Struthio camelus: one gene and its partner. The protein of the gene in region 1 purifies or fractionates together with the protein of each later gene. This does not show direct contact. Links are inferred from orthologs where the notes say so. Each region holds a gene or a part of one and is shown in the gene's direction. Other genes may lie near its edges.

Region 1 (15,977 bases):
AAGCTCTGTCCAATCCAGAACATCAATAAGAAGCTGAGTCAAAATGAAAAGCCAGCAGAAGGACAGTTATGAACATTTTAAAGATCTCCCTACACCCTTAAAAGGGCTTTGACACACCAACAATTCATCCTATGGGGAAAAAAATACCACCCATCAGCTGCTTTGCAGTAACTGCCAATGACCACGCTGCTATCTCATGGTAAATATGAAGTTATTTACCCCGTTCTTACTGAAGGCTCAGCTAAGCTCAAGTTAACTTCATGGGACCCTGCAGCAATTATTAGGAAAAAGCATGCACACCAAAAGTTTCTGTAGAGAGCATGACATAGCTCATGGCTCAGAAAATGACAGGACTTTCTACCACAAAGTAAGTGGAGTCTCTGGAAACATTGAAATGAACATTACTAAACCAGAGCATGTAGCAGAACTAATCGAGTGTTTAACAGCTGCAAATAGGCTTGCTGTATAATTATGAATTTAAAATTGCTTCTCTGAACATGATAAACTACATCATTGTTTGTTACATGTGTCTATTTCAGCTGTCAGAGTAAACTAAACAAATGGTGTTTTACACTTTAAGACATTTTTAAGTGAACAATGGCCGAGTATTAAACCCCCTCCCTCCTAACCTTTCTACTCCTTCTCCCATCCAGAACGCAAGTCAAATTCTTAGAATACCATAGCTCCTAGAAAGCACCTGAATGACTTTGCCCATGCACTTTCTGCTCCATTTCCAATACAGCCATTCAGAAGCGGACAAATTTAGGTGGCAAGGCATTGCTCCTAAAAAGCTAAAACTTCTACTTTCAAGCTAGTAAAAATAAACTTATGTTACCTTCTGAGCAGAACAATCCCAGCTTCATTTTGTTCCAGTACTACCAGAGTTCCACAACCTAAAACAACAAAATAAAACAAATTATCACAATTAATTCCCCCATGCCAGTAGAAGCTAGTGTTCTGGGGTAGTTATACAGTGCAAACATGGATGGCATTTGAATTTCTTTACACCTACAACTAATTGCTTCTGCCATTAACAGCTCCTTTTCTCTGCTTTATGCCTCTAAAATATTTTTTCATTTATATTTTTTTCTCCCAGTACATCTGTGGGTAAGGTTGGAAAAGAAACAACTCACTTGTAAAGAAAGCATAAAACGTGTGTTTCATCCACATGCCTTATGTTACAAGCACACCAGGATGGTGCTCCTTTAGATCTTTTGACAACACAACAAATGCAACACTTTTCTCCCTCTCTCTCTGAAAAGGGTACTTGGTAATACAAATGCAGCTCATCAAAAATAAAATGAAGAATTCAGTTCTAAGAAAATACACACAGGCACTATTCTTCTATGTGACCGGGATAACATCAAAGTAACATTTAGAAGCTTTAGTTAAAATTATCGCTTTTAGAGACAATACTGCTAGAAGAAATGAAAAGGGGTCCAATACTGCAAAAAGCTCAGCTTGGGTTTTCAGCAGGGCTGCAGAGAGCTGCCAGGCCTTGCCCGAACAACTCAATGACTGAGAACAGAATAATTAAAGTTTTAAGGAGAAAATATTTTCAGATACTTTATTTAACCTATGTTTGTCTCCTCTACTATGCATTTACTCCAACTCCTATGAAATCAGTACTCCTCTGAGAAGTTATTATTAGAAGTAAAAAAAAAAAAAAAGGAAAAAGAAGACTTTTTTTTTAAAAAAGTTGTTTTCTATTTTCTTAAGTAGGAAAACCTAGCTGGTGGGCGACTTCGGGGCAAGCATCAGATTTGCAGCTTGTTCTGAAATTAACTGTACTCCACGGAAAGAGAACAGATGCATCAGTTACATCCACGCGAAGCAAAAACAAGAGAAAGGGAAAACATAAAATGCTTCGCAAGCCACTTGCTACACGTGCAGACACACAGGCGCGCAGTTCACGGACTGCCGGTCTCTGAAGGCAGCAAACGTTTGCATGGCTCTTCAGCTCACAGCTCGTGAGCGCGCGGGCCACCCGCTTCACGGCAATCACTGCAGAGAAGCCTGACCTGCTCTTCAGACGTAATTACCGTAATAAAGGAAGACCTTGTGTCTGATAAACAGTAGAACAGCAACCGACCCAAGCCTTGCTGCTTCCAGTTAAGCAGAGCGGCCAACCACCACCGCAAGGCGAGCGCGGCAGCGACGGCCGCCCCCGCCCTGACGCTTCGAGAGGGCGAAACGACTCGACGCAAGCGGTCTCGCCCGCAGGTAACCAGGCCAGACCACTTCTTCCGTTGCTGTTGCTGTTGTTCTTCATTACGTAACAGCGCCGGAAACGCAACCCGCGCACCGCCGGGCGGACAGCCCCGCCGGCGCCCCCCCGGCCCGCCTCTCACCTGCGATGCCGTAGTACTGCGCGGCGGCGCACGCCACGCGCCCCGGCCAGTAGGGCGAGAACTCCGCCGCGTAGCCGTGCAGCCCCGGCAGCCGCAGGGCCCGGCCGCCCGGCGCCCCCATGGCCCGGCCTGTCGCCCCCCCCGGCCCAGGCGGGGACGGAAGGAGGCGCCGCCGCGCCGCGCCGCGCCGCCTCGCCGCGCCCGCGCCGCCCGGCTGGAAGCGCGGGGGCGGCGCTGAGGCCACGCCGCCGCCATCTTTGGTGCTGGCAGGGGCGGTGGCGGAGGCGGGCGGGCCGTGACGCTGCCGCCGCCTCCTGGCGCCGCTCCTCGGGGTCCTCTCGGGGCCGGCCGGGTCGTGTCCGCGGTGGCCCGTGTCCGCTGCGGCTTTCTTCTCGGGTCTCTTCAAAGACAAGCCGTAATTTTAGGCCGTCCTACTCGCTACTACCGCGCAGTGACAGCTATGCCTGCGTGATTCATGTACTCAAAGGTCGTTTGACCAGGACCAGGCCTCCGAGCGCTGACTACCCATTGTTTTGTGATAATTCTGTAAAACTATGTTTGCTAGAGAAAAAGATTTCCAAACTGCGTGGACAGTCCTTTCTTTTATACGCCATGTAAGATACTTAGCACCTCGTTCTCTGTTTGAATAAATGTGATTTTTTGATCTTAGTGGGTATATTGTCATTCTTTCAAAAAGCTCTTCCAAGCTATTTCAGTCTGTCATTTGCTGAGTAGATCTCCGTATATCAGTATGCATGTATTTATCATTCTTTGTTGTGAGGCAGTTACGCTTTATTGAGGTTCTTTCATGAACAAACAAACAAATTTTCTCATACCGATGACAACTTCTATTAAGCTAGTGGGAGTTTTGCCTCTGAAAGGAGGAGGGGTTCGGGCTAAGAAAAATATTTGAGCAGAGCAGCAGCTGCAACTTCTGATATATCTTATCCTATGTGAGATATAGGACTTTAAAATATTCATGGAGATGATTCCAATTGGACATAGGCTACCCTAATAAGTTAAAATGACCAATTTAAATGTGTAGAGATGAATACAGGAAATTCTTATTTTACACATGAAGGAAGTAAGACAAAGGGGAATAAGACAATTTAATCAGAGTCACCTCGTGGAGCTTGGAAGGTAACTACATACTCAGGCTGCTCCTCAGCCTTAAATTTAAACTACAAAACCTATTGTAAACTACAAAATTTATTGTAAAGCCTCATGAATATATAACTCCTTAAACTGACACTCACGTTCCGATCACTGAACTATGCGGTTTTACTAATTATTTGATCTCCTGATAAAAATGAAAACAAATATGTTTATCAAACAGCCTCCAGGATTTTAGAATAAAATCAATCCAAACAGTGCAAGTGAAGCTCAATGTAGCATATCATTGTGCTTATAGTAAGCACAAAAGCTCACAGCAGCTCCTATACTCACAACTACCAATTTGTAGATGGAATTACTGAGAGACATCATTTGAGATGAGTTTTTTTTTAACACTCAAGCAGAGTTTTTTTTTAACACTCAAACACAATGCCTTATTGAATTGACTGCTGCAGGCCGAATTCCACCAACTTTAGCCTCTGCGAAATCTTTTTAAATCAATGTGCCTTTTGGAAGCACACATCACAAGGCAATTTCCTTGGCAGGTGTTTTTAAAGTAATTGTCTTTTGTGACTGCAAAGTCAATAATACCATTCAAAAAGATATATACCCTCTGCAGTGGTATACTAAGTAAATCTGGACGTGGCCTTTTGCAAAGGTTTGCTCTGAGTTCAAGTACTCGGTGGCGTAATCTCCAGCTACTCTATGGACAAGTTACCACGCATACATCCAAGTATTGGAAAAGTTTCATCGTGTGCATTTTCAAAGTAGCCGACAAATCTAGTTCATCTTTTAGAATCAATAAAATTCCACAAAGAGGTTATGCAAGCAGGAAGCTGTCCTTACGACTGGCACAGCTCTGTTTTAAAGACAACTCAGAAAAAAATTAGACACATATCAAGAAGTGGATAGAGGGTTACAAAGAAATCCTGAAAGAAGGACCTAGTTTGTTGTAACACTTCCCTAAACATTTTTTCACAGAAAAGCTTGTGAATTCAGGTTTTTAAGATCCCTAGAAGTAGGAAGCAAAATAATATGCCAAGTAAAAGTATTTACATAGGAAGACTTCAAGGCAGATACACTAACAACTGAAGAAAAAGCTGTTTGACAAGCAGAGAGAAAGATCCAACAAACAAAACTGCTAAACGTGACTGTATTTCCTCCTGAAACAGGTGAGCTAAATTCAAGAAACATGAAAGATGAGAACAGAAATGTTCCAACAGCCAGCCCTTCACCAAAGTTGAGATAAAAACGTGTATGCAGAATGCATCAGTAGGTGGCAGCCATGTTCCACTTAAAAATTGAGATCCCACAGTTCGAGAGAAAAATTCCCTCACAACGCTGAGATTTTTTTCCTAACTCAAGCGCACTTCATTGAACTAAATTCCCATTTAATCAGCATATAACTTTTAGTTACGTTCCTCCTGCAGTCACTTCTCTAAGCCATCTCCCTTGTTAGAGTTAGACTAGGTAGTTGGGATGCTCACAGCAATATCTCTGCACGCAGTTTACCTTCTTCCCAGTCTGCTGAGCTCTGTTCTGTTACAGACATATCTCCACCATTTCCTCAGCTTGCTCACTGACAGCTAGCTTAGGTGTGAGTTGAGCTGGTAACGATCACTGCTGTATATACAAATCCTTAAAAAAAACCTCGCTGGTTGCCAGAAACAGTTATCAGGAAGGCACTAGTCCAAGTACTGAAAGGAATTATGACGAGAGTTTTTCTTCCGGAGAAAGCAGGTTGTGAACTATTCCCTTAGCTGTGAGGATAGGTGGTTTAAAACATTAAGAATACTTAGGGACTGCAGGAGACTTTTTTTCTGCTTTCTAGTTACAGAGCCACTAGGTTGCATGCTATCAAGTTTCTTCTACGATAGTGAGTGCTAACTGACTAATAGGAATGTAGAGATTTTCCCAGGTGAAATTCCTGTGTAATCAATAGGGGCTATGAGTCAAAGCTTTAAGAAAAGCATTTAGTGTCTCAAGGTTCATGGTAAGATTGCAAAAATAGGCAAGAGTGAAAGTAAACAAGGGAAAGTTGGGGAAAGGGGAAAGCAAAGGAGGTTGCAGGAATGAATACAGAGTCACACGGGGAAAGCGAGGTTAGTAGAAGGACAAGGCAGTTAGCATGGACGCTGTCCTGGGGGATTTGAAAGAATAGAAGTAAGAAGAGGGAAACACATTGGAAGGGAGGAAGAAAGACAGGGAGATTTAGCAAGAAGCGTGAGACTTGCCACGGGCACATTTTTCACTACACTTGGTCTGTCGTTCCACAATACACGGGCTTCAAGGCCAGTAATAACTGATGAAATAGCCACCCCCCACCACGTGTCCTTGTTGCTCCATCAGTCTTAGCTGATTACCATTTGTGGGGGCCATGCCATCATTTGATAAGTGAATTTATCATGCTATTACTACTGTTACACGATCAACTGCATCCCTGCAGAATGACCACCAGTCTCTGTTTTCCAGCTTCTTAGTACTTAAGAACTGCTTTAAATGTTTAGTTCCATCCTGCATTTGCCATTCTTTTTAAACTTGGCAGCTGGCACTCTGCTAGCAAAATGCTGCCCTCTCCATATTGAACATAAAGGATACCTCTGATTTTCTACAGTGATATATTTAACTTTCATTTGGTAGAAGATTTAACTTTTAAGAACAATTTGTTTATTTCAGTGATCGTATCTATTTGCTTGTGAGAGTTCTGTTCTAAAGCTCATGGAAACAGGATTAGTTTGTGTACTTTCAAGATCTCTTGTTTGGATTTTTGCATCTGCAAGTTTCTTTATATACTCTGTTTTCCACCCACAATTCAAGCACATTGGACTCTGGTTTTGCAAACTCCTTTTTTCCTGCTTATTAGTGAAAAATTTACAGCGTATCTCTAATCTCTCATTTTTGTATGCTGTCGTATAGTTAAATAAGAGGGTCTTAAAATATGGATGAAATTTAGCATCTGCTTTAAAACCCAATAACCATCAAGAAAACTCAACGGGCATGTTACTCTAGAATCTTTTTTCTGCCAGCCTTGTTGGATGTTGAAGGCCGTATCACACTGAAAACGTAAGTCGGACAGAGCGTTTTTCATTGTACATGTATTTTAGGTTTACTTTCTGTAAATCAGAACACGCTCAGGGAAACTACCCTTTTTTGACTTGGGTCTCGTTATTACTAGTATGAGTGAATAAATCAAATCTCTGATGTCTGTCACACACTGTTTGACACTTACCAATAATTGCATTTATATTTGAAACTAACATCCAAATTCTTGGATGTTGAAAATCATAATTTGGTTAAATCCAGAGGTCAATGATTTATGGTTGTAAAAGCATATAATGAAGAAAGGGTTCTTATTTCAACAATTTTACATCTAACTGCTTGTTAAAAGTTCTGTCATCAGAAAAAATCAGAGTGGAAGCAGGGCCACATTCCATACTTAGTGCTAAAGATGTTAGTTGCACAGCACCCAGAAAACAAAGTGAACAAGCTAAGCGTACTTCTGATAACAACCGGGATACTACTTCCGTTTTAAAAAAAAAAAATCCTTTGAATGATCATCTTCTAATCAAACTTCTAAATTGAAGAGCTCCTAAACATATGAATCATCACTTCAAGGAGTTAGCAGATTAAAGAAATATGCTTTTCCTTTATAAAAGCATAGACAATTTGTGTCTACTATTCCATATTAATCAGTGTTTTAATTGTTTTCAGTTAAGGGCCCAGCCTCAACCCCAGACAAATCAATAGAGCTATCTTGAACGTGGTAGGGATATGGCATTAGTAATGAAGTGAGGCTCACAAGTCAGTAACGCTAAGTGAATTAGCATGCTTCTTCCTTCTTTCAGTCCATGACTTCCTTCTGCGCTTGACAAACATGGGCTGTTCTAAAGAACACCACAGAGACATATTGTTCTTGCTTCCTGTAATGTGATGCAACTGTAGCGTTGAATGGATTAACACTGATTCTGTGTTTTGTGGAAAACTACATTATTTAGAAAAACACTGATTGCCATCCTGACTGTAGCCAGAAACAATAACCTACTGTATCTGGCAGATTAACAAATATTAACTTCTACCTGTAAATTGGTCTTTAGTTTGCTCGTCGTCTTCTCACCCCATTTACCCATGTGTTATCAGCAGAAGCAAATGCCAGGCATATCTCTTTGGAAAAAAGGACTGATCGACGCAAAAGCAAACAGGGCTACTGAAGGTACTGCAGTGACTAATCTTTCTTAATTATTCCAGAATTGATCCTCTGTCTAGAGCAGTCACGGAAAACAACGATAGAGGAACAGGCTCAGTGCCAACAAGATGATTAGTCTCAACAAGATGAATTGTAATGGGATGGACTTACTGATAATACAAACAAACATAGCTATAAATATGTAGAGCACTATTTTTCCTCCATGCTTTTCCTGGATCTACTTAATGTAATTCCTCCAATCCAAAGAAAATCTAACAATCATTAGGATTTCACTGTATTTTTGTTCAGAAACAGACTGCAAAAACTCTCAACTTCCTTTCCTTTTCAAATCCATTTTGAATTTCTCAGCGATTCATTCCTGGCCTGCAAACAATGTGCAAGTTTTAGGCAAGTTTTTCATATTATATATTATTTATTATATATATTACTTCAACTATCAAGGGATCTTTTCTTCTTTCTTGACTGGGAAGACTCTTACACCAGATTAACGCTTCTTTTGGTGATATGCTAGTTATTCAGATTAGTTTGCTTTTCCATGAAGAAGTATTTGTTAAATATCAAATGCCAAAGTGTTCATGAAAGACAAGTTCCAGGTGAACACAACAATGCAATATATTTAAGCAAAATACAGAGTAGCTTTTCAGTATGGCACTTTTAAAAAGAAGTATGAGCTGGGTACTGCTGCAGGCAGCCACAAAACCTTCAGTCAACTTGAGGCCATCCAGGAACACAAAGAGAGGAAAGTTTAAACAGGAAGAAGAGTAGAAGACAAGGGTTAATGATTATTAAATCCTGACAACCCTTAACTGCACAAAACGCAAAGCCACTCACTTAACTAGACTATCAGGGTTTAGGAGTAAGATGTGCATAAAAAAAATAAAAAAGGCAACAAGAACTATCCTGAAGTAAAGGCCAAAATTCCCTTCGGTTTTTCAGAGCACGGGATCAGGCTGATGCCGAGTCACTACACATGACTTAGTTTAACTTAAATAAGCCCCTGCCTGCATAAAACTAACATCTGCAAGTGAAAGCGCGTATTAAAACCTCAGGCAAGTCGGGGCCGGCTTCACCTCAGCGGCTGTTAGCGTGGGGGGAAGCACAACCCGAACCCAGCAGCACACTCGCCCTGCCCGACGCAGGCTCCTTTTACAAGCGGTATTAAAAATAAAGCTCTGCGGAACACAGCGGGGAAAGGGCCGCCGGCTGACAGGCATCCTCTGCTCCCTCCCGCCCAACCGCCCGCGCCGGCCGTTACCACACGCCTGGCGCGAGCCCGGAAGCGGACGCGCGAGGCCCCAACCGCCGCCGGCACCCCCTCCCCCCTCCAAAGGGGGACGCCGGCCCTCTCGCCTCCCCTCTCGTGAGGCAAAAACCACCGCTGCCCTGAGCGGCTCCGAGCACCGTTCCGACCTAACCGAAACCCGCTGCCGCCGCCGCGCCCCCCACCCCGGGCTCCCCGGAGCCGCGGAACAGCTCGCCCGCCCGACTGGCCAAAGAGCCCCCAGTGCCCAAAGCGCCGCCAGGGCTGCTTTATTTCTGGCCGGAGGCGGGGCGGGAGGAGGAGTCTGGTGGCTGCGGGCCGCCCCTGCCCGAGCCGCGAGTAGCTTTGCAGCTGTCGCTCGGCTAAATCGGGGACGCCTAATAGCAATCCCACAAGTGGTTCCTGCCGGCGGCCAACCAACTTCGCCCGGAGCCCGCCCGCAGAGGCTGGGGGCCGAGGCGCGGGGGGACAGCGGCGGCGGCGGCGGCAGCAGGACCGCGCTGCCGGGCCGGGCCGAGCTCGCCCGGCCGCCCCGGCAGGTGACGCCGCTCGGCGGCGGGGGAGAAGGGAGCGGCGCGCAATGGTGCCGGGGGCCGGCGCCGGAGGAGGCTGTGCTCGTCTCCCTGCCTGCGGCAGCCTCCGCTAACCTCTGAGGGGGAGCCCCTCACTTGCGCCCGGCCGCCTCTCCCCTTCGGCAGCTCGGCAGCAGCGCGCAGGGGCGCCGGGACCGTGCCGGGGCAGGCGGCGCAGCATGGCATCCGCCTAACCGCGGCCCCGCGCGGGAGCAGCGCCCGGGACGCGCCGCGGCGGCTCCTCCGCGGCCATGAGTGACAGCAGCGAGGGGATCATCAGCCTGTCGGTGCCCAGCGCCGCGGGCGGCGGCCCCCCCTGCGAGGAAGGGCTCGGCAGGCGGGCGCAAGGGGCCGACGGCGGTGCCCGCAGCCTCCTGCCCGACTTGGCCGCGCTGCCGGCCGGCAGCCTGTGGGGCGAGGAGAGCGCCGCCGCCGCCGCCTGCCCCGCCGGCACGGGCATCGCGGCCCGGGCCAAGGGTGGCGGCGGCGGCGGCGGCAGGCGGACGGCGGTCACCTACGTGATCAACGAGGCGAGCCAGGGGCCGCTGCTGGCAGCGGAGAGCGGCGCCCTGCAGAGCCTGCGGGAGGCGTGCGAGGTGGTGGGCGCCACGCTGGAAACGCTGCACTTCGGCAAGCTGGACTTCGGCGAGACGGCGGTGCTGGACCGCTTCTACAACGCAGGTGAGACCCCCCTCCTTCCCCCCCCTTCCCCGCCCGCCCGATCTACTATCGCCGCTCCCCGCCGTCCCTCCTGCCTTACCGCCGCGGCGCGGCTCGGCTCGGCTCGGCTCGGCTCGGCTCGCCGCTTCCCGGGCGGCTCCGGCCGAGGCCTCGCGGCGGCCCCGCACCGCCCCCCTTCCCGCTGCCGCCTGGCGGGAGGGGCCCGGCGAGCCCGGGGCTGCCCGGGGCTCCCCGAGGAGCGGCGGCAGCCGGCGCCGCCCTCCCCTTCCCCCGGGGTCAGCTCGGGTCGCCGAGCCCTCGGCGCAGCGGCCCCGGGGCTGCCGCTGCCGGGAACGCTGCGCGCCGGTGGGGTGGGAGCCGGGGGCGGGGGGGCTCGTCCCCCCCTTCGCCCCAAACGCGGCGGTGACCCCCGGCCGCCCCTGCGGTGCTGGGCGCTGGGCTGGCGCCGAGCCGCGGTGCCGCGGCTCCCCCCGGGCCCTTCGCTGCTGCCAAAGTATGCCAAGTGCTTCCCCCCCGCCGCCAACGTGTTTTGGAGAAGAAACTCCGTGTCAGCAAGCGTGCTGTGAATCAGCAGTTGTCAGGACTGCAAGAACTTGTACATTTTTTTTTTTAACCTATGCATAAAGCAGGACCTGACCGCTTTTTCTCGATCACCATAAAAAAACGCGGGGGGGAGGGGCAGGTTTTTGCTGAAGTGCTGAGCTGCGGTTGAAGTGCCTAGGTGCTGCAAGGGCTCGGCAGCTTTGTGCAGTAGGTTCAGCGTAATTGGGACACTCTGTGTGTTTTTTGTGCCTGGAAGTTCGTACTTCAAATATTGGTTGCATACAACGTTTATGATGGATGGGGTAGAACAAAGTGCCTTGATCCAGTCAGCTGGCAACAACATCCCTGTGCTGCATCCTCTCACCCGTCTGCCTGCTTTCATAAACATACAATTGCAGCTCCTTAATTTGAAACCATGGTGACCCTAGATTATCTGTTATGATTTACCTGGCCCTATTTTTTAAATAATAGCCCGAAGCTTCCTACTGTTGTATTTCTCTTTTTGTTAGCAGATACATAAAATGAATGGAGAATAAAAACAGCTGCTTACTAGATTTGTAAAGACTTGAAAAATTATACTACCGAATGAATGTTTTCCTGCCTTAAAAAAATAGAAGCAGCAACTTGACTTGACCCAGAATTCTAAGCCTACTGTATGGTGTGTTTTTGTGTGTGTGGAATACACTGGCAAATGGGCACTTTAAAAGTTTTGGCTAATACAGGAGTTCCCTCCCGTCTTGGAGGAGGGAGGGAAAAAGAAAGAAAAGAATCTAGCTGGGTTGTAGGCCGTTTCCACAGAAGATTCTTTCAGCATGAACATGCATATGCATGTTACTTCTTTGAAACTGCAGAAGCTTTGTCTCCTGGACTACTGCTTTCAGTTCAGTGAGAGACGGACGGTTTTGGAGTGTGTAGCTGCTTGTCTTGTACCTCCGACAGCACTGTGCCTTGAGAGTTAATGTTTTCAGAAGTGGAAGGGGCTATGCTAGCGAATGGAAATGGGAAGAAATAGCGCTCCAGTGTAGCTCTTACCCTCTCCCCGTACAGAGTAGAGAGATCAGATTTTAACTCTGACACTTGTTAATTGGTGGGCAGTTAAAACCTGAGGGTCTCATTTTGTTTCACCATGGAAGCGGTATCATAACACGCTCACACGGTTGGGTTATCTGTGTCTTGTTTTTTTTTTTTTTTTGTGTGTGCGTGCCTCGTATGTTTGTTAGTTTTTACACTCTGGACTCTACAGCGGTTTGGGTCTCGGTAGTTCACAGAGGCTTTTCTTGTAACGGGAGATTTGACTTGAAAGTGGGCCCCTTGAATTCTGCCAGTAGGCGTCTGGCATATAACACTGCATAACTGCACGCTTATGTAATATAACATTGCTTATTTCAATGGCTTTTGAGCAAGCTGTTTAACATTGAAAACATTGCTTTTTCTTTCAGTACTGCTTGGTTATGGGAACTTAATCAAAGTGTTGCAAAACAGGAAAAATACCTTGCCATTGTGCTTTAGTAGCTAAGCCTAATAAATATGCAAAAAACTGAGAGACACATCCAGATCATGGGCTGAAAAGAGCAGGACACGAGAACGAGTTTGTATCTGCTTCCAGTATACTCCATACCTTCTGAGCCGAGGAGTCATGAACCAGCTGTGATCCAAAAACTGTTTTGTGCTGTTGACTTTGAAGTTGGAACTTGGATCTAGAAAGATCTGAATGTTTTCGTACTTGTTTCCTTATTCCTGCCACATTTTATGTACAGTACGTATTTCTAAGAACTAGTTGTTCTCTGGAAAGTTTAAGCTAGTAAAAAATAACTATCATTTTAGGAACAAGACAGCGTTAAAAAGTAGAGGCTATGTCAGCTGAAGAATGCAAATAGAGAGCAGGGTGTAACTCTTGCACAGACTTTTTTTTCTTTTTTTAAACTGGGAACAAAATCAAAAAGCATATGTAGGTGACAAGTACATATCAACTATCTCCCTATTTCACTTGTTGTCCTCTCTCTTGCTATGTGCTTTCAGTGATTGAAGGTGATGATAGTAGTAATACAAATAAAGAATCTCTGCCCGGTACATTATATTCATGCACAACATTTTATTTAAATAGTACAGCATGACCTAACATCACGGAAGGATTTATCATTACAAATGTTTTCAAATTGACTCTTATTCAAGTGACCAAGTCTTACTGGACTTACAAAAGTAGGTAAAGACTGTGTGGAGGTTTGGAAAATCAAGCTTGTAACTTTGTTAGAATTAAATGAAACAGTAAAACCTCTCAAGTCTTGCAGTGCATGCAAGTCAACTTTGATGGGGGGGGGGCAGTAGATCTAGTATAATATACCTGTCCATCATCAGTCTCTCCTTTTTTAATATCTTGTCTCTGCTTTGTATAACATAGTCTGAACTCTTGGTGATCTCGGATGTAGGTTTACTCCATGCCTTTCACTACTTCAAAGAGAACTTGAAGGAGTATTAAATAAAAACTAATCCCATATGTAAATACTCCTCATCCGCTCTAATGTAGATTAGCCTATTAATAATCTTGTTCTACCAGCTTCAGTCAACTGATGGTCCTTAAATGCTGAGACATAATTAGCAATGCATATGATTGGTGAGTAGGTCTTAGTTATGTATAGTTGAACCATTCCAGCACCAAATAGTTAAGAATTTGCCTATACTAGCGTTTGTGCTTGCATGGTTTAAATTCCTCTTGATTCCGGAAAAAATTTGAATCTTAAGAAGCAAGTGTTAAATCAGCCCTAGTAACTATTGCCAAAAAGTATCTGACAAAAATAGACACTTCAGCGTTTCTTGTATTTTCCTCCCCTTAGATACTAAGGTGAAAAGAGAAAATCTAGTCTGATTTCTTGCAAATTTCAAAGTATTTGAAGCTGACCAGCTGTCCCAGGGTCTTATTTTATCCATAAAGAGAGTATTCAGATTAATTTTTTTTTCAGTTGTATTGAGCTGCTGCAGTTGAATTATAGGTCTCTGTCATCAGCTTCACTTCCAAATGGTTCAGGAATGTTTAGAGAACCGAGTAGTTAAAGACATGCAAACAAATAATAAGGTAGAGAAACCTATCTATATAACGCTGTAGATAATAACTTTTAGAACGCCATATGACTATAACCATTATTATTCATAGTTCAAGTGTATGTTCGGTACATTAAAATAACCTGATCCGCATGTTCGGTTAATGTTTTTTTGAATGCTCAGTTCCTTTTTGAAAACTTGGCCATAAAGGAATATAGACTAATCATAGTTTGTTTAGTTTATGTAAGCAATTCATTTTGTCTTTCACATAATCTTTTTTAGGACATTGAAATTAGAATGATTTGCTTTCTATGCAGATTTTTAAACGGTCATTGTGTATTATACAGGAGCAAATACATCATGGACTAACTGAACAAAGTGTTGTTGTCATCGTCGTTGTTGTTTTTTAAGTAACAAGGACCATAAAGGAAAATAAACATAAATCGGCAATCTGGGTTACCAGATCTGTTCTTGTAAGCCCCTCATGAGAGGGAAATGCTCAAAGTCAGGGTGAGTTTTTCACATAGGCTTTTAGGATTACACCTGTTTTTGTCTAGTTGGTTAAAGGAATGTCTCATTTGACTTGTAATCTGACATTTAAATAATATGGATTCTACAGCACAGGGTGAATTAAGGGTGAATGCTCAACTGACTGACAAAATAAGTGGTGTACAAGTGTCAGAACCAAGCCAACTAATACAGAAAGGTTTTTGGAATAATGTGTATAGTACAGTAGTATAAAGGTGAAGATTTTGCTCTTTCTTCTCAAAGAGGTAAGAAATCTCATAATTTTGGGAGAAATTAGATGTGATTCAGAGGAGTTAGAGATACATTTTAGCAGCATTCTGTCATTGTTTTGTGCAGACACTTGTACTGACTGCTTTTAGTGCATAGATAGACCATTTGCTTAGTATTGTCAGGTGTACGTTCCACCTCCTTGTCTGCCTTGCCAGATAAAGCTATAGAACGTTTTCACCTGGTATTCAGCAAAATTAATTTCTTTGGAAGAATGGCAATTCTATGAGAGTCAGAAGCACAATATATCAAATTTTCTGCAGACTCTGAGTGCAGTCTCACAGAGGAACTGATGGGCGGTAAGAAAGATCACAAAGTCAACGACTGAGGAGGATCTGGGGTTTCACATCTGTGCAGGCACTCATTTAAGCTTATTCTAAAGCTAAACATCTTGACTGATGTGCTTGTTATATAAATATCTCCTTGTAACTTTATTGTGTTATATTAGGCGATTTCTTTTTTTTTTTTTTTTTTTCACTTTAGCTTTTTACACTCATGCTTCATGGATCAATGGCCCTTGCAATGCTGTTTGGAGCTATTGAGATAATTCCCCATAGTAGCAATGATTTAATAAGATAATAGAGTTTATCAAATAACAGGTAATAGATTTAGCTTCATATTGTTGTTTCTGGAATTCAGCATCATTGCTTTTGGAATTCATGTGGGTTTGGGCTAGAAAGTTGGTGCCAGCTCACTGGACGTGAAAACACTTACTGCAATGTAGTTGGAGAATCTTGGCCCCAAAAGACAAATCTTCAGAGAGTCAGTGCAGTCGCGTATGTAAAAGTGAACTCAGCCTGGAAAATGTTCTGCATCTAAATTATTTTCTGCATGCTTCACACAACTTGTGTGGATCATGCCTTGAAGTATTTACAGGCACACAGAAATGAAGTAGAGCAGTACCAGAGCTCATCTGCATTCCGGCATTTTCTTCTTATTTATCTTTAGAGATGCTAAATTTCAAGAATCTTTTATTTAGCATGCTAAGCACTTCAGGCGTCAAACAAAATATTTTTTTAAGTGATTTATGCCTTAATATAAGTTTCCTGGAAGTTCTGTGATTATGACATACCAATGCAGGCTCTCCTCTTATACTCAAAGGAAGGCGTGTTTTTTAAAAACTTATTTTCTTGATTTCAAGAAGTTGACTTAAATGTTTTCCGTGGTGCAAAAAGGCATGCTTCCCATAGCATCTGCTGTTTATAGTACCAGAGAGAGAGTAACTGCGAGTATTATTCCACTCCACTTTGCCTCTCTTTCAAAACAATTAGTTTCTTCACTAATTTATTCTCTGTACTTCCTGATTTTTTTTTTTTGTTTAATTTCACTAGCAGAGTTTCGTCAGACACTTGAGATGCTGCACATTCTTCTGTGAATACGCAGCACTTGCGTCCATCGCATTTTTTACTATTTGGACGCTT
Region 2 (16,569 bases), on another chromosome or scaffold:
GGAGAGGGGTTAGGTCTAAATTTGCTCTCCATGGATGGTTTGGACCAGGACTGCAAGAACCAGTGGCATGATGCTTCCCATCCAAGCAGGCCAGACTGCTCTGAGCAGCAAACGAGGCCTGGGAGCTGCAGTCAGGGCTCAGCCACACCACCAGACACGAGTCCCCAGGCTGGGCAGCTCGTAGCGATCCTGGCCCCAGCCCTGAAGCAGGGAAGGGACGTGGCAGGCGTCAGAGGAGCCCCAACAGCTGCCCTGACCCCTTTAGCCTGTCCTTCGCTGACCCCCTCTCCTGGGGGATCGCTGCCAGGGCGCGCGTGGTACCCACCAGGCGAGCGGCTATTGCAGCATCGGCGGCAGGACGGAGCGGAGGGAACCGCAGCCCCCACCCCAAGGCTCTCTCCTTGTTCCTCTGCGCTGGCTCCAGCCCACAATACACCATTGTGTGCAAGAGATCGGCCGCAAAGCGGGGGCCAGGAGTCGGCTGGCTGCTCCGTGCCGCTGCCTCGGGGCCAATATCTGAGCTCAGTCCCCAGCCTTTGGGGACAGCGTCCAGGATTCAGACCCCTGGATCCTTTGGGCACCGCTCCTGCAAAGCCAGAGAGCAAGTTGAGGGAGAGCAAAACGCAGCCCCATCTCCTGCTCTCAGAGCAGGAAAGCCCAGAGGCTGGCGGCAGCTCGGCTCTCCTGGCTGCTGAGCTGAAAGGTGACCGCTGGAAGCTCGCAGGCCAGCTAAGAGGAACAAGCTGTGCCGAGGAGCGCTCACATCCCGGGCCGGGGGCCACCGCGTGCCACGAGCTGGCCTTGCTCCCCACCAAGCAACTGGCACGTTACTACGGAGAGAAAACACAACAGACCACAACAGACAGCGCAGAGCGGAGACAGCACAGCCGTCAGCGATGGGCCTCACTTGCAAAACGGTGGTGTGGCTGGTAGGGGTTGGCTGAAAGCAACTATCTGGTTTTGGGGGTCTCCTGACATGACCGTGGCATGGCAGAAGAGCAGTGTCACCTCGATACAAAGCACCCAGCAAACAGATCCCCTTTCCCCAGGCACGAACAAGGCAGCTTTCCCCTCCTGGCAAGTGAGTGCCCCAGCGGGGAGGAAAGCACGAAGGCAGGACCTGCGCAAGGCCAAGCCCAGGAGCTTCAAGCAACTGGATCCTACCCAAGCCCAGCAGCTGGGGAAGGAGTGGGATGTTTGGGAAGCGTGACTTGCTGCACCCACGTGCTGAATGAATGGGAGTGCACACGTGCAAGAAGCCTGAGACATCGTGGAGGAGACAGAGTCACTCTGTGTGTGCTGCAAGCCCATCTCCTGACCGCAGGAAGCCTGATGTATTGGATGGACACCCTGAAATCTAACAGGTCATCGCTAAAAGCACAGTTCCCCTGCCCCAAACAGCCACGCCAGCAGGCGGAATGAGCTGCTGGCTAATTCGGGGCAGCAGTCGTCTCTTTTGGTTTCTTGTTTTGGCTTTGTTCATCTTGTATCCAAAAAAAAAAAAACCACCAACAAAACAAAAAACACCACACAACTTTTCCTGACAAAACTGGCCTATAAGATTCCGGTGGAAGTTTTCAGTTTTGACAAACTGATGCTTTCCAACAAAGTCATTGCATTGGTAATTTTCTGGCTAGCTCATGTTGTTAGCCACATCTTCGCTGACTACAAATTCAGCTGGGCTTCTTACTTTCTGCCCTGCTCTCAGAAGGGATAATGAAGCTCAGTGAGGTCTGGTTATAATCAGCTTTGCTTTCAGCTTCTCAGTGCTTCTGCATTTGGGACACACAGAAAAGGCAATCTGTTAAAAGGAAACAGCTGTTTCTATCAGTTTTAGAAACCTGGTGTACCAATGACAGCTCAGAGGAAGAGAAAGACGGGGGCAACGGAGAACACACCAAACAATTAATATTCCTCACATATGAGGAGGTAGTCCTGACATGAGGTTACGTGGAAGCACAAACGGGAACACAAAGCTGAAGCAGAGGTGATGCTGAGTACCAACGCTTTCATAAGCGTTTCACAGCTTTTGTGGTGTCTCAGGCCTGTTGTTACAGGAGATTCCCGTAAGAATACCATCACAGAAAGTTTTCCAACACTAGCATCACACTACTGCAGGCCACCAAGCCATCAACCCAGAGATCAGCAGAGCCTGACTCCTTGGCTAGCAGGTCAAGGTGGAGCTACAACCTGGGGACTGGCCCATTTCTAGTAATTCCCTGCAGTCCAGCAAGGAAAACCTGCAAGAGCATTCAGTCCCACTGATATTCCTCGTGCCAGCAACAGGAGCAATGAACGGAGCTACTAAACAAACACCAACCCCTGCACTCTCACGGGGACGGCTATCTCTTGACCACACTCTAGGGTTTGGTTGTTATCAGCAAATGCCTATCAGGAACAAGGAGCGACAGATTATCCACACTGCATGGATGTTGGTCAACCCAGCCGCCCGAATACCTCTGCGCCAGTCTCTGCAGTCCTGCCCAGCTCTGCTTTATTACGCAGCCAGCATTGAGTCGCCGGGCAGCTCTAACGATGCTCCATTTCTGCAAACTATCCTGAGCTGCACAAAGACAGAGATGGTACCCAGCAGCATCCCTGGCTCACTATTAAGAGTGGACGTTTGAAACATCAAGTCAAGCTTTTGGACCGCCACTCGGTTGCTGAGCTCACCAAAAAAAAAAAAAAAAAAAAAAAACCAAAACAAAACAGCCTGACCCCTGGGATCTGTCTGCAGCCCTGGGGAAGTCCATGACTTTCCTGAGCCAAGGCAGTCCCCTCCTGAAGCAGAGTTTTGTGCCGGCTGAAACCAGCCAACTCACTTCAGTGGTATCAACAGGTGATTTTCCCCACTTTGAAGTTCACCCTCTCCAAGGCCCAACTCTCCCCTGCCCAGTCACTGCAGGTCACTCAGTGAGTGATCTGACTGGCAGAGATTTTATTTGTTAAACTGTGATAAAAAGATCATGTTACCCTAGAAACTTTTGGTCCTTAGCTCTCCTCGATCTCTTTTTTTCGTGTGCACATATAAGCTTTCCAGGAGTGGCATTGCTTTATAGCTCTTGCTATGTCAAGCAGGGACTCATCACCTGGGACCTAGTCTGATCTCTTCCCATTTGAAATAAGCAGCTGGTGAAATCGGTTTCTCCGCACCCTGCATACATGTCTCCTCCTTCCTTGCTCCACCATTGTTGAGCCTCGAGCCTACACTTTGTAATTAGTGGTTGAAGGAGGGGAAAAAAAAAAGTCTAAAATAAAATCCAGACTATTCTTGTTGTTTTATTGAGAATGTCTCCTACTGTGTATATAATTTCTGAACTAGCTACCCCCCCTTTTTTTTTTAAAAAAAAAAAAAGGCCAACTACCCTGCAATTTCTGTAGAGCAGTAAAATTGCCTATTTTCCCCAGAGTAGCTTTCCACATGACAAATGGACAAGAAAAACCTCGAGATCTTTGTATATTTGGAATTAACCATTAAAGAGATGGCTGGAAAAGAATTAGCCTGCTTAAAGAGAAATTTCAGCAGCACCTACTTTTTTATTCAGCCTCTCCAAAAAATAAAACAAGGCTGTTCAGAGGAGTTGTCACGTCACCGGATCTTCACAGTCCAGAGTCTGAAAGCATCTACAGAGGCACGGGCTGGCCAGAGGGACTCGGGCAACGCTGACGCCCCGTCACCCACTTGCACCACAGGGGCGGATGCAAACGCAGGGGCTGTGGTTGGAGCCACGCAGCCCACGTACGCAGGTGGCACAGATGCTGCCCCAGGCCCACGAGCGGCTCTGCCAGCTCTCCCTGTCCGCTGCCGAGAGCTTGCGAGACACTGGACAGACCCGGTACCTGCCGCATGGGAATCTCCTCCCGGGCTGCGAGCTCGGCTTATGCACTTTCCCTTGGCTGGAGGGCCCCAGTCCCACGGACGCTTAGGGGAGCTCGGCTCCATGCCGCGAGTCCTGCCGGACCACGTGGGCACTCCCACCACGGCCCGTTCCCATCTCCGAGGGGCTTTCCCACCGTGAATCCACCCCCCTCCATCCTACCTGAAAAGCAACCGAGCGGCTCATACATCAGGCACGTCCTCCATGCTTGCCCTGGCACAGCACCCCCACGCCACCCACCCGAGGTCCCTGCACCCACAGGGTGCCAAACCAGCCCCTAAAACCTGCCCAAACCCCCTCAACGAGGGGGAGCTGCTGGTGCGCTGAGAAAGCCCAGGAGCTGCTGGATGGGGCCCGGCGGGCACCAGGGGCCCTGGGGGGGGGGGGGGGGGAAACCAGCCCAGGGGGGACCTGTGCAAAGGGGCACCAGGGGAGAAAGGGGGGGAACTGGGGGGGTGGGGGGACAGGGGAAAGAACCAAGGGGAAAAGTGCTATGGGGGGGGGGAACAAGGGGCACCAAGGAGCATCAGGAGAAAGACAGGGGGCAAAGGGGCAGGGGGGGATAAAAGAGCATCGGGGGCAGGACAGGGGGGGCAGCCAGGGCCGGGAGAGATGGAGGAGCACCAGGGGCAGGACGGGGGGGGGGCAGCCAGGGCCGGGGGGGATGAAGGAGCACCGGGGGCAGGACGGGGGGCAGCTGGGGGGGATGAAGGAGCACCAGGGGACAGATGGGGGCAGCCAGGGCCAGGGGGGATGAAGGAGCATCGGGGGCAGGACGGGGGGCACCAGGGCAGGGGCGGATGAAGGAGCGCCAGGGACAGGACAGGCAGTGCCGGGGGCAGGGGCGGATGAAGGAGCATGGGGGCAGGACAGGGGGCAGCTAGGGGGGGATGAAGGAGCACCAGGGGACAGATAGGGGCAGCCAGGGCAGGGGGGGATGAAGGAGCGCTGGGGGCAGGACAAGCAGTGCTGGGGGCAGGGGGGGATGAAGGAGCATCGGGGGCAGGACAGGCGGTGCCGGGGGGGGATGAAGGAGCGCCGGGGGCAGGACAGGCGGCGCCAGGGCCAGGGGGGATGAAGGAGCACCGGGGGCAGGACAGGCGGCGCCAGGGCCAGGGGGGATGAAGGAGCGCCGGGGGCAGGACAGGCAGTGTCGGGGGCAGGGGGGGGATGAAGGAGCGCCGGGGGCAGGACGGGCGGCGCCGGGGGCCGCCGGGGCCGGTGCGCCCCGTCCCTCACCGTTCAGCCGCACGGTGAACTGCCGCCGCTTGCGGTCGTGCTCCACCCGGATGGGGCAGCTCTGCTCCAGCAGGCCGAGCGGGGCCGAGTGCGCCATGGTGCCGGCACGGGCGGCGAGCGCTGCCCCTCGCCCGACGCCGCGACAGCGCCGAGCCCCGCTCCGCCCTGCCCCGAGGAGCCGGCGGCGGCGGCGGCGCGGGGGGAGCCGGGAGCCGCGAGCCGGGGCGGGCGGACGCCGCTGCCGCCCGCTGGAGCCGACACGGCCGCGCCGCGGCCGCAGGAAACCAGCTGTGCGGCCACGTGCCCGCGCCGCAGCCAATGGCCGCGCCGCGCGTTTGTTTTGATACAGCCCGGGCGGCTCTTAAAGGGGCCGCGCGCCCCAGCAGCCTCGGCAGTCCTGGTTCTGGCCGGCTGCACTGGTGCTGTACTGGTGCTCTGCACTGGTGTGCCAGTGCTGGGCTGCTCCGCTGGGCAGTCCTCCGCTGCTGTGCTGGGTGCTCTGAACTGATGTACTGGACCTGCACCAGTCTTGCATAGCTGCACTGGTGCTGCACTGGTACCCTGCACTGGTGCTGTACTGGTGCTCTGCACTGGTGTGCCAGTGCAGGGCTGGTGCTGGGCTGCTCTGCTGGGCAGTCCTCCGCTGCTGTGCTGCTACTGTGCTGGGTGCTCTGCACTGGTGTACTGGACCTGCACCAGTCTTGCATGGCTGTACTGGTGCTGCACTGGTACCTTGCACTGGCGTACTGGTCCTGCATGGTTGTACTGGTGCTACACTGGTACTCTGTAGAGGTGTACTGGTGCAGCATGAGTGCACTGGGGTGGTGTACTGGTGCTGCACTGGTTTGCTCTACTAGCATACTCACTCTTGCTCTGGGGTATGGTGCAAACCCTAAATTCCTGCACCTCACGTGATGCCCCTTTCCAGAAGCGCGGTGCCTTTTCCCGCATGCTGGTGGGCTGTGGGAACACTCCGCTGCAGGGCAACACCAGGCTGCGTTTGTAGGCAGCGCTGAAAACCCCACAGACACCACGAGGCTTCCCGAAGGGGCTGGCTACAGAAACGGTGCTGCATGGGTGTCCAGCTTCTTGGGGCGCTTGTCCTGAGAGACAAGCAGGCTGCAAAAGCAGGAGAAACTGTGTATGTTGGCTGTTACAGGATACCACAGACACCTGAGCATGCGTGTGGGGAGCACAGATACCATAGACAGTGTATTTGGGATGGCTGCATTAATTGCATCTTTTGAAACATAAGGAACTTGACTTTCCATGCACCATGTTGTGTAAATCAGAGTCTGTTCAATGAAATCGGTGTATCCACTATATGCAAAATTGGTTGATGAAATAGGCTGTCTGGTTCCTTGTTTGTTGAGCCGTAGCAACAAAATCTTGGTATCCTTGAACTGAAAGCTTTTGGAGGTAGGAGCTGCATCTATAGAAAGTGTTTGCGCAACAGCTAGTGCAGTGGGGCAGGGTGGTGGCTGTTTGTATAATAGGAAAAGTAACAATATTTAGAATTATTCTATAAAGTGGAATAGATAATCAGCGTAGTCTGCGCTTAAATAATGCCTTGTGAAGTTAGGCCTTCATTTACTAATCCCTTTGGTTCCTACTCCCTGAAGTCAAGAGTTTACAGACTGATTGATTCCTCAGGCCAGCAGGTTTATTTGGCTCATGCCGCTCCATGGACCCGGGCTGATGCCAAGGCGTTGTGCTGAACGCAGGCTCCGGAGCTGCGCGCCACCGCTCAGCAGAGCCCGTGGAGCTGCAGTACCTGCCAGGCTGCAGAAATGGGCTGGCTCTGGTGGGAGAAGGCTTCGTTACCTTCCTGGTACGTGAAAGGCTAGAAAATGTCAGTAACGTGAAGTTGTCCTTCTCCTGCGCTCTTTAGCCGGTGACCTTGAGAGATTTAACAAACGCAAATTAGCCGCTTTCACGGCGTGCCTGCGTGGTTGGTATGCGGTGTGATCTCCTTTGTAAGTCACGGCACAAAGCGGTTAAGAAATGCGTCCCACGTCGCTAGGCAGATCTGCGGCGGTTCGGCGGGGAGAAAGGAAGCCTGTGGCTGAGGTTCAATTCCTTCCTTTGTTACAGGCCTTCTGGGCGAGCGGGGAATCAATTACTCCCTCCCAGCAGCCTTCGCTAAGCCCGTGCTTCCAGGCCGTATGGCGATGCTGGAAGATAAAGATGGCAAAACATTGTGAGCACGTGAACGCAAGGGAAGCCAAACACAGGCTGTAAAGAGCAGGGCCCAGCACAGCTGTGATTTTGTGGGGAGGAAGAAGATGAGCGGCATGAGCTCAAGGGCATGGGGGAGCCTGGCGCAGGTGGAGACAGGGGCCAAATCCAGCACCCGGCTTTGAGCTGTGAGGGGGTGCCAATGCCCTGGAGCCTGCAGGAGGGGCTCGGGGGAAATGCGTGGCTGGGATCCTGAGAAGGGATGGAAAGGAGAAGCGTATTGCACGTGGACGAAGGGGAGCTCCCCGCTGGGTTTCCCTGCTCTGCGGTGACAGGGGACGTGGCAGGTGCTGCATCCGGCTGTGCGGGCGCCGCACACTTGGCGGCTCTCAAACCCGCCCTGGCGCAGCGCCACAGCAGCGGGGCTGGGGACAGTCCCCAGCTCTCTCCTCCAGCGAGGCCGCCAGCCACTGAAGTGCAGAGCGTCGAGCGCCAGCAGCAAGGACCTCAGCGTGTTCAGTGCGGTCTGACCCACACCTCCCTCCTTTTCCCTCCGTCCTTCCAGAGCCTACAAAATCCACAGATTTACCTATAACATTCTCGAAACGTGGAGTGGCCTTCCAGGAATGCTAAAAATCTACCTCCCTTGCGGAAGTTTCTGGGAACGCTTAAGCTCTGCTGGGACATTTTGCTCTGCCTTTGCCTGTGATGATTACCTCTGCCTCAGGCCAGCAATTACAGCTCCCTCTGATCTTTCCGATACACTTACCCAGCAGTGAGTCGGTTGGATCTGATGATGAGCAGCTCAGACAGACAGGAGGAGTTGCAGGCAAAAGAAACAACTCCGGCAGACACCTAGAGGTTGCAAAATAAAGAGAAAGATGCCCATGAGAGGCAACTGGGCCCTGGCTCCAAAGAGGAGATGACCAACCCTCAAATGCTGCCTCTGGTCCTGTTCCTGCCCTTCCGGCCGGACCATTCTCCTTCTCCTCATTGCAGCTAGCAATGGTTCATGAGTTTTCCTTCTCTCCCTAGCCCCAGTGCCTTGCCAGCCTGTCCGATTTTCATGCTGAGCGCATCCAAATTCCCATTCATACCTCTGCAGCGCTTCTGCGTCTGAAGATCTCCGAGCAGGTTACAAACATCTGTTGGTTAAACTCCCCAGTGATTCAAGGAGGAGGAATAAAACGAGGCGATTGTTTCATCCACCCCTTTAATTGCAGCCCAGGCTGGAGCAGGCAGCAATCTCCTGCCGTGCCTGGTGGTGAAAGGAGGAGGAACCACATAGCACAAAACGTGCTCCTAGACACAAGGGTTGCGCCCCGCGCTCACAAGGGCTCCCCCAGGCTCCGGGGAGCACAACGGCCAAGATGTCTCCGGTGTTACGTTGCCGAAGCCGGCCCCACCGGTCCTTGCAGGTGCCCTTCCAGCTGGAGACAAGGGAGTCTCCTATTTGCTAAGGCGCAAAGGAGCGCTCTTCTCTCTGCAGTGGCATCCAGCGAATCTCACACCCAAATACTGACCCAGCCCAAACCTGTTCGGATCAGCCAGTCTGGAGTTCAAACCCAACTGCTGATTCAGAGGTTTGTAGGGCTAAAAGCCAGGAAAGTCCATGATGATCTGATCTCCTGCTTACCCAGCCCAAAGAATGACATCGGTAGCTCTTGCTTCACCACTAATAACCTTGTGGTTGGAACAGGAGCATATTTTTTAGAAAGACTCCTTGTCTGTGTTGAAAGACTGGAAAGGTGGTGAATCTACTACATCCCTTGGGAAGGTAATTGCTGTCACCATTAAAAAATTTGTAATTTATTTCCCATTTGAACTTTTCTAGCTTCAGTTTCCAGTTGCTGGCTCTGACACCACTGCGGCCGGATTAAAGGTCCATTCGAGGCGGGACATCTTTCCTTTGCATAGACACGGCCCACCCAGCTCCTCCGCTTCTGCTGCGATTCCCGTGCGCTGTTTCTGAGACAGGTTTTCCAGTCCTTGAACCCATGCAAAACGCTTCGCAAAACACACGTCTTGGAACTGGGCTTGCTGCGACTTCACCGAGGCTGCGTTCAGGGTTGCCGCCTCTCCGACCCCTCCTTCCGTCCCTGGACGGATCACACTGCGGATTCCTGCCAGAAAACTGCATTCCCAACTTGCTTTTTGCTCATTTCCGCTACGTCACTCGTGTCCTGCTCAGCCACTGCTTTCTGCAACGCAGCAGGCGCAGAAGAAGAGCCCCCTCACGCCGCCGGCATCTGCCCGGGCATATTGCTGGGCTTGAAGGAATTTTGTGGTGACTCAGGGCGAGGAACGAATTCCCGCTGGCTTCCCAGCCCGGCCTGCGCGCCTCCGTGCATCCCCAGCGCCTGCGATAAACACAGCCGCCCTTCAGGATCGGACGCCGGCGTGAGCGGGCCGGGCTGGGCCGGGGCAGCTCGGCGGGGGCACAAGGGGTATCGCCCAGAGCAGCCGTCCCAAGGGAAACGTGATGAGCTGGCTGGTCTCAGCCGTGCGAAGCGCTGGGCCCCCGCCGGCGGATGGGGGGGCCGGTCCGGCCCCGCCGTGGTCCCGAGCGGCGAGGGGCCTCGTGGGCTCGGGGCGGCGGGACCGGGTGGCGCGAACGGGCCGACGAGCCTGACGGGCCGGGGCTGCTGGTGCTGGGCCCCTGGACGGCCCTGCACGGGACGGCGGGCTCGGGGCTCTCGGGTGGGCCCCGGGCGAGGAGGAGGAGGAGGGTGATGGCTTCCCCGAGCAGGGGAGGAAGGCTCCGAGGCCTCGCCGTGGCTCACGGCCCGCGGCAGCCAGGGAGGCCCGTGCGGCCCCACGTGCCGCAGCCTCGCCGAGGCCCCGTAGCCTCCCCTCAGCCCCGAGCCGCCGTTCCGGGGCAGCCGAGCGGCCTCGAGCCCCGCCTCGGTGCAACGGGGCGGTTGGCGCAACGGTGCTGGGGGCAAGATGGAGGAGAAAGCCTCCCTCTGCCCGCCCGCCCGCCTGCCTCCCTCCAGCCGCACGCCCGAGAACCATAAAACTCTCCGAGCCCTAACCCCGCCCCCTCCCTCCAGACAACCAATAGAAGGGAAGCTCCGGCGGTGGGGGGCGGTGCCTGGCCAGCCCTCGCCCCGCCCCGCGGCTCTTTCCCCGCTGTCGGCCGCGCTCGCCCGGACACCGCCGGGCGCTCGCCGTGCCCTGGGCATGCTGCGGGCCGCCGCCGCCAGCCATGTCGCTGCCCAGAGGTAGGAGAGCGGCGCCGCCGCCGCCGCCTCGGGGAGGGCGGGCTGGGGGCGGCCCGCAGCGGGGGCCTGGGCCTCGCCGGGCCTCGGGTGCGGGGGGGCGCGAAGCGGGGCAGGGCCGGGCGCGTCCCGAGAGGTGGCCCGCTGTGCTCCAAGGAGTCCTCGGGCACGTCTGAAGGCATCGCCCAGCACGTCCCTACCGCATCCCTGGCCACGTCCCTACAGCATCCCCCCCGCGCGTCCTACGGCATCCCTGGCCACGTCCTACAGCATCCCCCCGCGCGTCCTACGGCATCCCTGGCCACGTCCTACAGCATCCCTGGCCACGTCCTACGGCATCCCTGGCCATGTCCCTACAGCATCCCTGGCCACGTCCTACAGCGTCCCTGGCCACGTCCCTACAGCATCCCCCCGCGCGTCCTACAGCATCCCTGGCCATGTCCTACAGCATCCCTGGCCACGTCCCTACAGCATCCCTGGCCACGTCCTACAGCATCCCTGGCCACGTCCTACGGCATCCCTGGCCATGTCCCTACAGCGTCCCTGGCCACGTCCCTACAGCATCCCTGGCCACGTCCCTACAGCATCCCTGGCCACGTCCCTACAGCATCCCCCCGCGCGTCCTACGGCATCCCTGGCCACGTCCCTACAGCATCCCTGGCCACGTCCCTACAGCATCCCTGGCCACGTCCCTACAGCGTCCCTGGCCATGTCCCTACAGCATCCCCCCGCGCGTCCTACGGCATCCCTGGCCATGTCCCTACAACATCCCTGGCCACGTCCTACAGCATCCCTGGCCACGTCCTACGGCATCCCTGGCCACGTCCCTACAGCATCCCTGGCCACGTCCTACGGCATCCCTGGCCACGTCCCTACAGCATCCCTGGCCACGTCCCTACAGCATCCCCCCGCGCGTCCTACGGCATCCCTGGCCACGTCCCTACCGCATCCCTGGCCACGTCCTACAGCATCCCTGGCCACGTCCCTACAGCATCCCCCCGCGCGTCCTACGGCGTCCCTGGCCATGTCCCTACAACATCCCTGGCCACGTCCCTACCGCATCCCTGGCCACGTCCCTACCGCATCCCTGGCCACGTCCCTACAGCATCCCCCCGCGCGTCCTACGGCGTCCCTGGCCATGTCCCTACAACATCCCTGGCCACGTCCTACAGCATCCCTGGCCACGTCCTACGGCATCCCTGGCCACGTCCCTACAGCATCCCTGGCCACGTCCTACGGCATCCCTGGCCACGTCCCTACAGCATCCCTGGCCACGTCCCTACAGCATCCCCCCGCGCGTCCTACGGCATCCCTGGCCACGTCCCTACAGCATCCCTGGCCACGTCCCTACAGCATCCCTGGCCACGTCCCTACAGCGTCCCTGGCCACGTCCCTACAGCATCCCCCCGCGCGTCCTACGGCATCCCTGGCCACGTCCCTACAGCATCCCTGGCCACGTCCCTACAGCATCCCCCCGCGCGTCCTACGGCATCCCTGGCCACGTCCCTACGGCATCCCTGGCCACGTCCCTACAGCATCCCCCCGCGCGTCCTACGGCATCCCTGGCCACGTCCCTACAGCATCCCCCCGCGCGTCCTACGGCATCCCTGGCCACGTCCCTACAGCATCCCCCCGCGCGTCCTACAGCATCCCTGGCCTTGCCGGGAAGCCTCCCCAGGTGCCACACTTGCCGCGGGCATCGCGGTGGCCCCAGTCTTGGTGGCACCCGGGGACGGCGGTGCCCTGCGGGGGCCCCCCTGGCAGCAGGGATGCGGGGCGTGCTTTCCCCGCGCGGACGGTGCAGCCTGGATGTCCCCAGCCGGGGTTGGCACCCGGTGAGCGCGTCTGGGCGCAGCTTTGGACCTTGCGTTTGTTGACAGAGGTGGTGGGGCAGGCCTCCGGCGCGGCCTGGGCTAGGGACAAGGTAATCGGCCTTTCCGAGCGTGTTGTCCCCCCCTCGTGATGCAAGTTTTCAGGTGTCAACTGGATGGTCCTTGTCTTAATATTGGTTTAATTAAGGCTTAATGGAGTAATTAAGTCTTATGTAAACTGGGAAGATAGGATGCTAGATATAAAATTGTTGCCTAATCTTTCGTGTATAAGTTTCCTGTTATCTGCACTCTTGGTGTACCGCCAGGAAAGTGCTGATAGGTAGTGCAGTTCTGTTAGGTGAAGTAAAGAAAATCTTTCAGGCTTGCCTCCCTTGTAATTAAGTTGCTTATGCGGAAACAAAAGTATGTGAAGCTCTTTGGAAACAGCTTGAAGACAACCATCCCTGTTCTTGTCCATTCAGAATCAGAGACGTGGATCTACCTGGCCATGCACGTGAGGTTCCTCAGTTCTCATCCATTTTGCTGCGTCTTTGCACGTGCTTAAAAGCATATGCGTGATTTTATAGGATCTGGGCTGAAATGATCTGAAGTTGCTGGTAGGCAGGAATGCTCTGTTGGCCAGTTGGAACGATTGGACTGACTCGCTGTTTTTAAGTTGGTGCCTGAATAGATAAACGAGTGATTTCACCAGATGGAGCAATTGGGCAGCGTGTTTTTCTGTCCGTCGAAACATCTTGGCAAGTGCAGAACGCTCAGAAACTGAGCAAGGCCGACACTGGTTCTAAACTTACTGAGCCTGAATTGCAGTACAAGGGCCAGACCGCTAAGCTGGGTACTATATGGTGGAGGCAAGATGGGAGGTGATGTTCCCCTGCTTCTTCCAAAGCGTTAGCTGTATTTGTGACCTGCTGCCTGATCCCAGTTGGGGGATGTTGTGCTGTTTGGATGTGCTGGCTTTGTGTTGTCCCCCTCTTCTGGTTCGGCACTGGGACACAGTTCTTACACCCTTGTCCTGTCTGCACCGTCCTGAGGTACCAAATTTGGGACGTGTGTGTTTCTTAGAGGAAAACATGAACAAACAGCACGGTTTGGCCTTCAGCCTGCTGAAATTAAAGGGGATGGAAGTGTTGAAATGCCTGTTTGTGTCGAAGGAGGAGAATCCGAGCCTCGAGCACAGCTGCATTGCTTGGGCTGCTCCAGGGGGCAAGATAGCAGCGAAGCTCTCCCCCTCCAAGAAAACCGCTGTGGCGGTTTAGCGAACCTCGTCGTTAACTTTGGACAGGGCGTTCTGCGGATGAGCGGCGCCAGCAGCAGCCCGTAATGTAACGAGGTGAAATAAAACCAAACGGAAAGCGAGTGTGTGAGGATGGCCGGCCCGCGGCGTGCGTGTTTGTTTTGGTGGCGGAGGCAGAGCTCTGATCTCCCGGTACGCCCGGCGCTGACTCCGAACCTTGACACATGTGCGTGTGTCAGAAGCACCTTGGTAGGGTTTCCCGTTGCGGCTGGCAAACGTGATTGTGTGTCATGGATGTTATTTATAGAGCATCGCTGTGACTAAGGTGGCCTGGTCGCCGTCCTAAGGTGAGCGCAGTCTGCTAGGTATTGGCCCGGGATGACACCATGAGCTTGCTGGGGAAGTTTTGAGGAAGACAGGAAAATTGCCTTGCTGATGCCTTAGAGCTCTAGGTAGCTGATTGCATCAGCGCTGTGAGCGACGACTGGACAGAATCGGGGAGGAGAGAGCACAGAAAGTGTGATTTGCTGCTTCTCTTTTATCACTGGAATAAAATTTGGGTTTTTTTTTTTCCCTTGTTCTGGAGTGATGCATAGGAAACTTGAAGTCAGGAACCATGTGAGCAGATGAACACACCTCGATGTGACCTTTTTTTTTTTTTTTTTTTTAATGATCTATGTCTTAAATGGAGAGAATGTGGACCTGTGTTTCCTGTTTGCTGTGTAAGTAGGGTATGAATCAGCAGCGATTTATAATCGTTTTGAATGGAGCTGCTGACTCATAGGTAAGAGCACATGTTCAAGCAGGCTTCCCAGACGGGAAGGGTTCAGCAGGGCTTCTTAAAACGGCTGTCGAGACCCGGTCCAAGGCCAGATCTCATTTGGGTTGCAGGCGCCGTGGGCTGTGTGAGCCTGAGCAGCAGATGTGTGGATGGAGGGAAGAGGTGAGCTCTCTCCTTTAGCAGCCTGGCTGAGAGACCTCTCTTTCCTCATGGGAGAGGAGGCCCGTGCCGGAAGGATTTCCTAGGAAGTTGTGTGCTTGACCAAAAAACGTTTTGCCTGTCGGAGCGTTGTGGGAGTGTGGTACCTGCACATGCATTCTTGGAGGAAGTTTGAAACCTTTCTGTCTTTGCAGGTGTCTGGCTGCGCGGGTTATTCTTTGGAATGAACCAGTTCCTGCCTGAGATACAATTACTACTAATACTGCTTAGTGGAGGTGTCACGTGTGTGCTGAGTACCCTAGTTCTCTTTGGCTGGCATTGACTGCTCTGGGTTTTCCTCCGACTTGAGCACTTTTCCTGTCTATTCCCTTTGTCTCCATCGATGCAGGCTTTGGCATTGGGATCAATCCAGAACATGTATAACGCATCTGCTTTTCTCAAACCCCTCTTCTCTCGTTCTGTTAGCGCTCCACCGCGGTCGCTGCATGCCTCTGCCATCCCTTGTGACAGGCCTCGGTTTTGCTTCGGCCTCAGAAACACATGTTTTTTGAGTGGGGCTCGCCAGTCGTGCGTTGCCGCATGTGAATACCCTTAGGTCTTGAGCGCCTGCTTCCACTTGGATTGCACAAACTGCATCTCCTTGACAGCACTGATGTTAAGTCATTCTGGGGGTCCTTTGGGATGGCCTGAATTTAAGCTATCTCTGTTTAGGGAAATCCAGTGGATTTGGGCTTCCTTTTCCTGGTTGCTTCCCCTTCGTAGGCTTAAGTTGGTCAGGATAATAAATGGAGGCTGCTGCATTGTTGCTCTCAGGTTGGCTGTTTCAATGGTAGATGTGTACAAATACTCAGCTGCTGTCATTTTTGGCTTAGTCATGGGATCGACTTCTGCCTCTGGAGTTTCTGGGGATGCGTGTAGCTGCAGCTGACTGCCCATGACACGCGTGAATGGAATGGTGCTCGGCGAGGGAGCTTTTCCTCGGCTCTGGACTAAACACAGCTTCTCAGATAAACACCTTGTGTGGCTTATGTGGAGCTTGATAGGGATTTCAGCTTAATTCCTTTCCCCATTGCCCATGTGTGGTTGATCCAAATTATCTTGCAGGATCAGATATGTGTGAGAGCATCACTTGCTATTTCTGGGTAATCTTGCACTGTTAAGTCCAAAGTTTACTAAAATATGCAAAATCTCTCATTTGTCTCAGGTCAGCGACACTCGCCTGAGCTGTATTTACCAAATCGCTGGCATTGAGGGAAGGAATCACATGCAAAGTGCTGGAACTGCATGTGTATCTTTCTTCTAGAGCTTTGTAAGGGACATAGCCACTGGCAGCAAATCTGAACGTGTGACTGGTCCTGGATATGGTTTTTCCAACAGCGTCTGCACCTTGTCCAGCAAAACGGATGCTCTGAAGTGATGGAGCTTATATCTGAGAGGTTAAAGTAGAGGGGGAGGAAACCTCAGCTTTGCAGAGCATGCAGGATACGCAGGGTGAAGGGTGCACAGGTTGTTTTAGGTTGTGTGCCTACAGATTCAGGTTGCTATTTTTCCCTGGGGCTGAAGGCATGTCTTCTGCCTGCCTGTGCAGCCCTGCGTGAAGAGCTGCAGCCGCTCTCACTATGTCTGTGTGCTGTGACTCGGTTCCCTCCTGACCCTGGTACCTAAGCGAGGAAGTCCAGGCAGCCCCCTCCTGGTGGGACAGGCTGGACGTGCCTGGGGCAGGCGCGTGTCTCCTGCAACTGCTATGCTGGGAGGTTGCTTCAGGAAGCAGCTCTGGAGCTGCAGAATTGCAGGGAGGGAGGATGCAGTGATGAGAGCTGGAGGGAAGGGACCTGTTTGTCCTCCCCTGAGCTCACCTAGCACCAATGCTGAAGTAGCTCAAAAGCAAGTTCTTCTCTTTAGTTGAGCAATTCTCCTCCAGGAAGACATGAGTAACTTGTTAGGTGCCTGGATGTGACCCACTGCACTTCACAGCCACGTGCTTTTACTTCCCTTTTTGGATAGCAGCAGGTCTGCGTTTCCTGATGTGCTGGGCTTCAGCGTGAGG

The links.
Region 2: the proteins of MAP3K5 (region 1) and MAP2K3 purify together in Homo sapiens (co-immunoprecipitation; 4 studies listed by BioGRID and IntAct, with this or other methods). This does not show direct contact. The link is inferred for Struthio camelus from reciprocal best matches to the Homo sapiens genes MAP3K5 and MAP2K3.

What each region holds. Positions count from the first base shown.
Region 1 is NC_090944.1:74,127,837-74,143,813, reverse strand, and holds the start of MAP3K5 (mitogen-activated protein kinase kinase kinase 5), read left to right. Parts: upstream 1-9,602; 5' UTR 9,603-9,752; coding exon 9,753-10,182; intron 10,183-15,977. Other genes in the region: PEX7 (peroxisomal biogenesis factor 7), read right to left, coding at 836-893, 2,352-2,472. UniProt on the Homo sapiens protein: Serine/threonine kinase which acts as an essential component of the MAP kinase signal transduction pathway. Plays an important role in the cascades of cellular responses evoked by changes in the environment.
Region 2 is NC_090956.1:4,367,228-4,383,796, forward strand, and holds the start of MAP2K3 (dual specificity mitogen-activated protein kinase kinase 3), read left to right. Parts: upstream 1-10,397; 5' UTR 10,398-10,503; coding exon 10,504-10,519; intron 10,520-14,497; exon of another isoform or gene 14,498-14,512; coding exon of another isoform or gene 14,513-14,525; intron 14,526-16,569. Other genes in the region: protein NATD1, read right to left, coding at 5,118-5,214. UniProt on the Homo sapiens protein: Dual specificity kinase. Is activated by cytokines and environmental stress in vivo. Catalyzes the concomitant phosphorylation of a threonine and a tyrosine residue in the MAP kinase p38.